Canis lupus familiaris: one gene and its partner. The protein of the gene in region 1 interacts with the protein of each later gene in a pairwise test. Links are inferred from orthologs where the notes say so. Each region holds a gene or a part of one and is shown in the gene's direction. Other genes may lie near its edges.

The links.
Region 2: the proteins of CTNNA1 (region 1) and ARMC8 interact in a two-hybrid assay, tested with the Homo sapiens proteins (2 studies listed by BioGRID and IntAct). The link is inferred for Canis lupus familiaris from reciprocal best matches to the Homo sapiens genes CTNNA1 and ARMC8.

Annotation. Positions count from the first base shown.
Region 1 is NC_049232.1:26,500,119-26,505,487, forward strand, and holds part of CTNNA1 (catenin alpha-1), read left to right. Parts: intron 1-1,560; coding exon 1,561-1,761; intron 1,762-2,324; coding exon 2,325-2,476; intron 2,477-5,140; coding exon 5,141-5,251; intron 5,252-5,369. UniProt on the Homo sapiens protein: Associates with the cytoplasmic domain of a variety of cadherins. The association of catenins to cadherins produces a complex which is linked to the actin filament network, and which seems to be of primary importance for cadherins cell-adhesion properties.
Region 2 is NC_049244.1:34,937,573-34,943,470, forward strand, and holds the start of ARMC8 (armadillo repeat-containing protein 8), read left to right. Parts: upstream 1-2,343; 5' UTR 2,344-2,592; coding exon 2,593-2,637; intron 2,638-5,898. UniProt on the Homo sapiens protein: Component of the CTLH E3 ubiquitin-protein ligase complex that selectively accepts ubiquitin from UBE2H and mediates ubiquitination and subsequent proteasomal degradation of the transcription factor HBP1.

The DNA of each region.
Region 1 (5,369 bases):
AGAGGCAGGGCATTGTGGTGCTCTGTTCTTTGCTGGATATGCTGAGTACCACTTGCCTCTGGCTCCCTTGGACATGAAAGGAAATAGCACCAGGACCCCTGTCTTGTTGGGAGTATCTTAAGAGGTCACGCTATCTGCTATCTCCCTTCTAGACACTGTCACCTATCACTTGACTATGTTAGCAGAGGTTGCAGGGGAAGGGTAATTGGGTTTTAGAAGTGGATTCAATCAGGAGGCAGTCCAGAATAATGACACGCCGATGTCTATGGTGGCCAGGGCTGGCAAAGAAATCACCTGTTGGCTTAGGCAAGGGAGCATGTCTTCTACAAGTTACTACGTCTTTTTTTTTTTCTTTTTTAAGATTTTATTTATGTATTTATGTATGTATGTATTTGTTTATGAGAATGAGCAGAGGGAGAGAGAGAAGCAGGGCTCCCCACTGAGCAGGGAGCCTGATGCAGGAGTTGATCCCAGAGCTCCAAGATCATGACCTGTGCTGAAGGCAGCTGCCCAGCTGACTGAGCCATCCAGGCGGCCTACATCTCATTTTTTGTTTGAGCAGGAATGGCCAGATGATTATGGGGCTTTCCTTTATGTCACTCTGCACCCACCCCATAGTCTGAGCAGCCCTGTTATCTGGGCTGTCTGCTGGTGGTCCCTGTATTTCTGGGTGAGTGAGAACAGTTGCCTGGACCATCCTGGCTCAGCTGTTACAGATGGACATCATCCATTTTAGTGGCTGTATAGTGCCCATAATTTATTACGTACTCTGCCCTTGGATATTTTAGTTGCTTCTACTTTGCTGTAATTACAGATGAAGCAGAAGCTCTTTACTCTGACGTTCCCAAACTCTAGTGTCAAGCATTTTGCTTTGAGGAAAAATAATTTTGGTGGGTCGTCCACATCCATTTCTCTGATTGGTAGGAGCCACCTGTCAGCTTAACACAATTCAAGGGTCTTTGCAAATACCACAGTAGGCCCATGGCCACCCATGAAAGGGATACTAAATGTTTTTGTATCAGGGAGGCTCCCTTGGTGCCCTCCAGGGGTGGCTTCATTCTGCTTTCTAGCACCTTCTACCCCAGGGCTGTCCTGGCTTCTTGGCAAATTGTCTGAGTACTGGCATCTACTAGAGGGAAGGGCAAAGGACTGGAAGGATAGAGACTTATAATGAACCCTTTCTTCTATTTAAGACTTTGTTTTGGACATAAGGCTAGTGAAATTATTTAAAGAAGAGAGAAGTTACCAAGGTCTCTGCGATCTGAATTTTCTGCCTGGCTTACAGAACAACTGTACTTTAAAGATCTCTTGATCACTTCCTCTCTCTCTCTATAAACTTGGAATTGAGGATTATTATCCTTGGAGGTGATTATGGGTTGAGTTTCTGTGGGACAGTTAATTAAGTGGTTAGTCTGGTCTTCAGTGAAATGATACATGGGAAGCTTTGGCTCTGCAGCTGGCACAAAATGAGCACTCGGTGAGCAGTAGATGCCAGCGTACCATTGTCCCCCTTCTAGTGGAATGCCCTTTCCCTTATTCGGCTTTTTGTTTGTTATTTAGAGAATCACATTTTGGAAGATGTGAACAAATGCGTCATTGCTCTCCAAGAGAAAGATGTGGATGGTCTGGACCGCACAGCTGGTGCAATTCGAGGACGGGCTGCTCGGGTCATTCATGTAGTCACTTCAGAGATGGACAACTATGAGCCAGGGGTCTACACGGAGAAGGTCCTGGAAGCCACGAAGCTGCTCTCCAACACAGGTTTGGGGACTCCCTCCCTTTTTGGTACTCCCCACACACACATGTCCACCCTGTGAGTGCAGGCCCTCGTGGTAGGAAGGACGAGATCAGGATGTAGCTCAGGCTTTCATACAGTAATGTCAGGGTGAATGTCAGACTGAGAAGTTGATGAGCCAAATTATAAGGCTTTGACAACTTTCCTTTCACATGTGTCCCCAGCTAATTATGGGATTAATTCTGAACATACTATTAAAGATGAACTTCTGAGTTAAGTCTCTTTTTAGTGAATAAATACTAAATTAAGGACGGTCCTAGTTTTAAGCAGGGCCTCCAATTTTTCTCACTTCATGTCTCTCCCATCCAAATCCAATACTGTAAAATCTGGTCAGAGACAAAGATGATTTGAGTCTTGGTAAAATATGGCATTTAGTTTATTTCAACTGTAAATACTCTTCACATGGGTTGGAGGCACAGGCTCTTCATCATGCACCTGGCTTCCTCTGTCTCCTTGAGGGATTTGGGGGGCAGGTAGAGTAATGCTGTCTGCTGGGCCAGCTGGACCTGCCGTGCCTCTTTCTCCACAGTCATGCCACGTTTTACCGAGCAAGTGGAGGCGGCTGTGGAAGCCCTCAGCTCGGATCCAGCCCAGCCCATGGATGAGAATGAGTTTATCGATGCCTCCCGCCTCGTGTACGACGGCATCCGGGACATCAGGAAAGCGGTGTTGATGATAAGGGTGAGTAACTGCATTTCAGACGTTTTAACAGCTTCTTTCTTATCGTTTGCTAAACTCGAGCAATGCATCATTCTGGAACTCAGCAGATGCGGTGGCAGTATATTAAAACCATGAATCTAAAAGCTGTTAGAATGAGATATATTTAATTATGTTGTCTAAAATGACTTTTAGTTGCAAGTTAGAGCCCAAACTTGGGCGAAGACAGGGAGCTAGGATGAGTTGGCTTTGATAATTTAGTTTCAGGCATAGATTCCCCACAGATAGGCAGACTGTGGTGTGCGACAGGGAACCCACAGTGAAGCCTCTTCAGTTATTTTCTGAGAAGGGAGTGTTTCCTTCATGCAGGTTGAAGCCATCCTTTGCATGGACGCCCCTGTCCTTGACAGTGGTGGGAGATCCCAGAGCCTCTGTATCCTTGGGGTGAGGAGGAGTGCCTGTGGCAGCCCTTGCTCAAGCTCCCCTGATGTGCCTTCTCTGTTCTGGGCCCCACATGACCCATTTTCTCTGACCTATGGGAGGGAATACCCAGCAGCCCTCCCAGGTGGCGTAAATACAAGGGTTTTGAGAAGCCACGGACACCACCCCCGTAATATGGCCCAGGGTGCCAGGGCTGGGTCTCCCAGTTGCCCTCCCCTGGCATGTGGTGTCTCACATCGTCTTCTGAGCACGAGCCTGTTGCTCTGGGAGCTGAGAGCAGGAAGTGTGCATCCCCGTCCCCCGGGGCCACCTGGGGGTCCCAAGGGCCTGGGCCAGAGCCCGCCTGCTGCAGGGAGCACTGCTGGCTGTGCGGCCTGGCTGGTGGGGTCAGGAGACGTTGTTTACACTTTCCCGGTTTACTAGACAGACCTCTCAGGGTGGGCAGGGATCCTGTCCCACTTTTTATCCTCCCAGCTCATCAGCTGGAAACAGGGGCCGTTTCTAAGGCAGCTGCATGAGGCTGGACCCACTTCATCTGCAGCGTAGAAACGTGTGGGCAAGAGGGCCGGGGCCCCCCGGGTGAGGCAGAAGGAGAAGTGTGCATGCCCTGGTTGGTGCCAGCTGTCCTGTAGGCCCCAGGTTCCCTGGCTGCACGGGGGCAGGAAATTGCTCTGCTTTCTCCATCTCTTTGTACTTGTACCTGAGAAGCAAGCTGGCTTGGTAGAATGATTGGTCACATGGGCCGCCCTGTCCCAGTGCCATGAAGGGGTCCCTGGGCATGCCATCGCTGGTAATGGACGCAGCCCTGTTTCTCCAGAGCCTTTTCTTAGACACTTAGAAATGGAATAAAAGGGACCTTAAGATAAAGAGGAGTCACTGGTGCTGAGGTTGACATCTTGGGGGGTTGGGCGGGCAGACACTGCGTATACAACGAGGGGACATGCTTGCAGACTCTGGAGCCCCGGCCCCTCCTGGACTCTCCTCATCTTCTCTGAAGAACAGAGGTGCTGGTGGTTCTAGTGAGCTGTGGTGTGGGCAACACAGGGCCCGACAGTGGAGTAGCGGTGCTGCACCTCCAGGGCCCAGTATGGTCCCTGGTACACAGATGCTCAGCAGAAAGGAAGGAACAGGAGGTACCTGGTCTCTTGGCAAGAATAGTTCTTGGGTCTCTGACGGGGCCAGCAGGGCTGGCACAAGAGCAGGTTCTCACAAGACAGCATGTCTCTGGGAAAGCCCCTCTGCAGGTATCTGTGACCAGGGATCTGGGATCCAAAGTGGCCAGCGGTGGGGTCGTGTGTGGCCGCCAAGTCAGAGAGACTCCGGGTCTTGCACTCATGTGTCCCCAGGGCTTGCTGGTGCCTGGCGTGACCCCCTGTCCTTACCTCACGTCACTGAGAGACAAGCTTAGTCTTGGGCAGCCCAGATGTTCCTCACACATCCTCTCACGGGAGCCCTGCAGCAAGCCCTGGGGCCCCGCCTTGGATTAGATCCTGGTACAGATAGGGGATGTGCCTCATTGCCCTTCTGTCACAGGCCGGTCCGCCAGGCCAGTAGCCAACCCCAGCTGTTCCGCCCACTGCCCATTACTAGTAACTTCCAGGAGACAACGTCAGGTTTCAAGTCAGCCACTAATCATGAGAGGCTGGAAGTTGTATGAAATAAGAATTTTTTTTTTTTTTGAAATAAGAATTTTTATTTCATAATTAAAGCTAGAGAGCTAGAACTGGAAACGGGACCTTGGAGACATACTCAGACCTTACCTGCCACGTTCTTTTCACATTGATAAAAGTAAAGCAGAAAAAAGTCCATGAAAATCCATTGCCTATTTCTTCTCTTCAAAGCATTGTCCTAAGGGAAAGCCTAATATTACTTCCTTCATTCATTTTCTTCTTGCCATCACATGGGAAGGTTCTAAGAATCTGCTTAATGTTGGATAAAATGTCTTTTCAATACAGTACGTTTCCCACCAGGATGAGCCTCACTTTTGTGTAGGGTGCAGGTGAGTCCTGACCCTCGTAGAAGCTGAAGCTCCTCGAGCCTCTGGGAAGTCCTGATGGGGGCCTAGCCTGGGACGCCTCACGTGTGTGTCAGTGAGGCGGGTCTCGAGTGAATCATGGCTGATGTTAACCTGATTGGCCCCAGCTGCTTGGAACATGGCTCATGTGAAGACCCAGAGTTCTGGGTGTTTGTACTTTGGACCCAAGGGCCTAGGGTGTTTCTGATTCGTGCTCTCCATATTGCTGGCAGACTCCCGAGGAACTGGATGACTCTGACTTTGAGACAGAAGACTTCGATGTCAGAAGTCGGACGAGTGTCCAGACAGAAGATGACCAGCTGATAGCTGGTCAGAGCGCCCGGGTAAGGAACATGTCCCTGTGCCTCCAGGAGCTTGGCTTTTTCTTTTCTGGGATCGATCACAGCGTTCCCACTTTGTCTCCCTGGCACCGGGATAGAGCTCACCCCAGGGGGTGGCACA
Region 2 (5,898 bases), on another chromosome or scaffold:
AAGTAAACAATTACCAAAAAATTAAAATATATTGTTGGAGATACTGTGTTAGTGGCAAGAACATGATGCAGGGATGCCTGGGTGGCTCAGCAGTTGAGCGTCTGTCTGCCTTGGACTCAAGGCGTGATCCTGGAGTTCCAGGATTGAACCCCACATAGGGCTCCCTGCAAGGAGCCTGCTCCTCTGCCTATGTCTCTGCCTCTCTCTGTGTCTCTCATGACTAAATAAATAAAATCTTAAAAAAAAAGAACATGATGTATAAAAACATGGGGAAGGGGTCACCTAACTTATACTTGGGAAAAGGGCTTCCTGGAGGATGTATTGCTTGAGGTAATGGGTGAACATGGATAAATACAGCTATCACAACTCTATAAATATAAATGTCATATAAATGTCAGCTGAAATTTCATTCGATACTTTTATATCCTCTGTTCAAGGGTTATGCTCTGCTATGTTATAGTATGCAGAATATGACATGATTTTAGGTGATAGGTGGACATGTAAACTTTTTTGTAGTTATCATGTTAATATGTAATAGAATAAAAATAAGCACAAAAACTTGATTTTACAGACTCTTATGGTTTAGGATGAAGCTAAACTATTTAATGAATTGAAATTGACTTTAAAGAAAAATACTGAGTGAATAACAACACCCAGGTTCAGATGACAAAGTTTGCATGGGTGGTATGCAGATTACTGAAGTTTGGAGAATACTGCAGAAGGAAAAATCTGAAGTGAAATTCCTGCTTTCTAGAAACTCAACAGTTTGGGAAGACAGAGCCATGAGGAAGGATGATTAGGGCTACAATAAATTTGAAAACCAAGTACAGGTTTCCCCCACAAAGCAAAATTAGAGTGTTCTTTTTTTTTAACATCTAAGAATTTATTTAAAGACACAAAACAGCTATATTAACAGATACATATACATTTGTTTTTTCTTTATGCTGTTTAATGCTAGGGTGTTCTTATTAAAACTTTCTAAACTAAAATGGCATAAAGTGAAGAAGGAATACCATAACTTTATATGGAAACATTTTTGAGCCTTCCCAGAGCTGAAAAATAACCTCTTTTAGGCATTTCTGATACCTTAGGCCATATCTTACTAACAGATGTACAAAATAAATGGAGATAAAGCACAGATGCTCACAGATACAGTTCAAAGCTATGGGTGGCTTGATGCTGAGATGCTGAATGTAGTTCCCAGAGGAAGAGCTTGGGGATGCCACTCTCCCCTGCTGCCTGTGGTTGACAGGTGCCTTATAAAGGCTCACTGCAAAACACACACTGCTATTTTCATTCACTACCTTTTTTTCATAAAAGCAAAAATTCTCTTTGGGTTTCTTTGGTTAGCAAAAACAGATTCTAACGTAGGGCTTTGCTAAAAGCAAAGTGGCTTAAGGGGAACTTTCTAGAATAGAAAGCAGTGAGGAGCAAAGTGAAAAGGTTAGAGGCTACAAGATCAGTTGGAAGGCTATTGCTCTAGGGCAGGGGAGAGGTAGTAACAGCCTGATTAAGGAGTGGCCATAAAAATAGAAAAAAACAAGTAATGAAACAGGCTTATTGCAACCACTCTATGAAAACTGACTGGTTATAGACAGCAGGAAGGTGAAACCTGTCCAGCCAAGTCCAGGGCTGTTTTATACACACACATACACACCACACCCATAGACACACACATGGAGTGGGAAAGCTGAATTAATGAGAAAATATCATTAGAAGCATGTTTTTATTTGGCTTCAGTTATCAGAGTGCTTTAGTGTTAATTCTCAGATATTTGTCCCCCTTTTTTTCTATTTGACTCAGAGACTGAGGAAATAGTAACATATATATAACGCTTTCTACATTCCAGTCATGTTCTAAAGACCTTTAGTTTCCCGTTCTCATAACCCCTATTTTATAGAAGAGAAAGCTGAAGCATAGGGAGGTTAAGTAACTTGGCTGGACGTAATGCAACTGATAAGTGAAGTAGCAAAGACTAACCCAGGCGTTCTGGCTCCAGAGTATCTATTCTTAACACTACACCAGAATTAATGGGTCGAGCAGATTACGCCGAAGACCTGGTTCGGAGACCACAGTCCCTTCATCTGTAAAATGGCGATAACCACGCTAGGAACCTGCTGCAAAGGAGCGAGATAATGTATAGGAACGTGAACTTCAAATTACATATGTGACTCCACACACTAGTCTCTATCATGTGAATAGGTGAGCTGCATTGTAACGACTCAGCCCGTCAAGTTTGCAGCTCCAAGAGCGAGACCCCGCCCCTGTGGCTCCGCCCACCGCGAGCGGCAGGTGGGGCCGGCAGATCTTCTTTGCGCATGCGGAAACTGCTGCCCGCTCCCACCTCTAACCCAGGCTGAGAGTAGCTGCCGTTTCTGAGAAGACGATTCGTCAGGAGACGCTTGGCGCGGTTTTCCTTTTCTCTCCCCTCTGCGGGCCCTGGTCGTACTTCAGCTGTGCCTAGAGTGTGGTGTGTTCTCGTCTGTCTGCCTGTCTCTCCGCAGAAGGTGCCTGTCGTTGGCCCAGTAGTTCCCTGTCGAAAGTGCCGGCCCCCGCGCCGGCACCGGCCGTAGCCGGGTGGGAAGGCTCAAGATGGCGTGCCTGTTGGAGACCCCAATCCGCATGAGCGTCCTCTCGGTGAGTGACCGCCGCAGCCGCAGCCGCCCGCCAGCTCGAGAGCTCGGGCCGGCCCGCAACACTCACCCCAAACATGGAGTGCCTCCTGGAACACCACCCCTTGGGGTGGCTTCCGGCTCAGCTGTGGGCCGTGGGGAGAGAGAGGGTGGGCGGGAGGAATAGACCGGGACCCCGACCGAGCCAGAAACGTCCAACTCCGGGAGCGCCCACCGGTGCCGTTGCTCAGGTGGCCTCTGGCGGACGGGGTGGTTGGGCATACGGGCGGCTGGTCCGGCGGCTCGGCTTGGGTCTTGCCAGGTGCTTCGCTGAACCTTCCTGTTAGCGTTGCCGCTTCTCCGGGCCGAGCGCGGTACCCTGTGGGGCGCGGGGCTTGCTCCTGGCCTGGGAGGGAGCGCCCGTCCAGCCCCCCCGCGGCGTTGGCAACGAGGGTGCAGGCACTTCGGCCCCCACAGCCTGCGAGCGGCCAGGCTCGGGCTAGAACCGCTTGCTTCTTGGCAACGGGGATTTCACGTCAGCTGCAGCGTGTGTAGTTATTTGAGCCCCTCTGCTCTGGAGGTCGCAGCTCCGAGTCTAAAGGAACCCGTGCCTGGCATTACTTTTTTTTTTTTTTCTTTTTCTTTTAAGGGGAGTCAAACGCTGAGAAAAAGAAAAAATTAAAATTTTCCTACTACTATTGAAAGAAGGGAATGTATTGACTCGCCAGGAAGTAATACCTAGTTGTTTGTTCTGTTTTGTTTTTTTCTTCAAATTAAATCCGAAATACAACTTTCACTTTTCACTCTATGGCTCTTGAGAACCAGGACCCGGAGTGAAAGTTACTGAGGAATAACTCCAGAGGATTTTTACTACGATTTAGAGCTGTCCAGCTCAGACAAGAGTCACTTTACCTACCAATGGTCCATCTGCTGTTGTTGTAAATAGGCAAAGACTGGTTGGCCATCTTTTAGACTTGGGGAAAGCTGTCTGATTCTGAGAGGGTGGTTGGATTACAGATGCTTCGATTTGTCAGGTTCCTAGAATCTGTGACTCCAGCGCATTTCTTTTCTCTCCCCTGACTTCCCCCATTGATTCACCTATCTGGAAGCCCTTAGGGCATTAGCTGTGATTCAGGGTTAGAACGCTGTGGCATACCAGAACCTAGATCATTTAATTTGGGGGGATGGGGGCTGTCAGCAGATTTGCCTCCTGATGGGTTTTAGCAGTCCTTTTCCTTATTTTATACAGCAATGGGGGAAACACTGTTCATCTAGGTATTGAATCAGGTTCGCCTTTTTTTTTTTTTTTAAGGTTTGTCTTTTATTCTACCTCTGTAATATTTTGTGGGAGAGCAGGTGAATGACTTTTCCCTCATGTTTCTTTTTTTTTTTTTAAAGTATGCCTCTCAACTGTCCTCAATTCCCTTTAATTATCTTGTTTATCCTTTTTTTTTTTTTTTAACGTTTTATTTATTTATTCATGAGAGACAGAGAGAGAGGTAGAGACACAGGCAGAGGGAGAAGCGGCTCCACGCAGGGAGCCCGATGTGGGACTCGATCCTAGGTCCCCAGGATCACGCCCTGGGCTGAAGGTGGCACTAAACCGCTGAGCCACCCGGGCTGCCCATGTATATCCTTTATTTCACCTGAAGCTTTACTTTTTGTACACTGTTAACTTGTGTCGTGTCTACAGTTGAAAATTTTCATTTGTTTCACTCCCTGAGTAAAAACATTTCCTGTTTAATTCTTTTTTTTTTTTTTTTTTTTATGATAGTCACACAGAGAGAGAGAGGCAGAGACACAGGCAGAGGGAGAAGCAGGCTCCATGCACCGGGCGCCCGATGTGGGACTCGATCCCGGGTCTCCAGGATCGCGCCCCGGGCCAAAGGCAGGCGCTAAACCGCTGCACCACCCAGGGATCCCTCCTGTTTAATTCTATGCAGAAACTTCTTGAAGAGTATTCCCTACTTCTTCTGGGGATTTGCTTTAGTTCTAATGTCACCGAAGGCTAATTTATTTTCACAGTCCCAATGCCTTGTTTGTCAGTTCACCAGTTACAGAGCCTTGGAAAATCAGACACCACTGTGGCACAACCTTTTGAAATACAGAGTGCAGGTGGAACAGGAAATATTAATCAGAAATTACCTTGAAATAATTGATTCCTTTAATATAGGCTGCTTACTGTGCACCAGTTATGTACAAAACTGTAATGGATACTTTTAGGGAATGCAAGGATGAGATCAGATATGCCCTCAGGGATCGTACAGTCTGAAGGAGCCCACAGTCCAATAAACATAGTTCAAGCAAGGGGCAAATCAAATGCCTTTAAAGGTTTCATTCAAGGCCCTTTGTACCTTCTCCCCATGAGAGATCTCTTCACTCTTACAACCTTAACTGTGATCAACTCATAGATTACCTTGCCAACCTTGACTTTTTCCCACCTAGTCTCACATCTTCAATTGCGTGGATGTTACCTAAGACTTTTTTTCCCTCTAGTATCTATTTTTTTCCCATTAGTATCTATATTATCATTCAATGAATTATCATTGAATTTAAATAAATTATTGAATTGTATTATTGGTTTCAGAGGTAGCGGTTAGAGATTCATCAGTCTTATATAATACCCAGCGCTCATTACATGCCCTCATTAATATTCATCTCCCAGTTACCCCATCACCCTGTCCCTCTCCCCTCCAGCAACTCACAGTTCGTTTCTTATTAAGAATCTCTTTATGGTTTGTCTGTCTCTCTGATTTCATCTTGTTTTATTTTTTCCTCTTTCCTCCTTATGATCCTGTTTTGTTTCTTAAATTCTAGGTATGAGTGAGATCATATAATTGTCTTTCTCTGATTGACTTACTGCACTTAGCTTAATATCCTTTAGTTCCACCCACATCGTTGAAAATGGCCAGGCTTTTTTCTTTCTTTCTTTCTTTCTTTCTTTCTTTCTTTCTTTCTTTCTTTCTTTCTTTCTTTCTTTCTTTCTTTCTTCTTTCTTTCTTTCTTTCTTTTCTTTCTTTTTTTCTTTTCTTTCTTTTCTTTCATGACTGAGTAGTAGTCTATTGTGTGTATATATGCCATTCTTTATCCATTCATCTGTAGATGGACATCTGGGCTCTTTCCACAGTTTGGCTATTGTAGACGTTGCTGCTATAAATATTGGGGTGCAGGTGCCCCTTCACATCACTACATTTGTATCTTTGGGGTAAATAAATACCCAGCAGTGCAATTGCTGGGTCATAGGGTAGCTCTATTTTCAAATTTTTGAGGAGCCTTCCTACTGTTT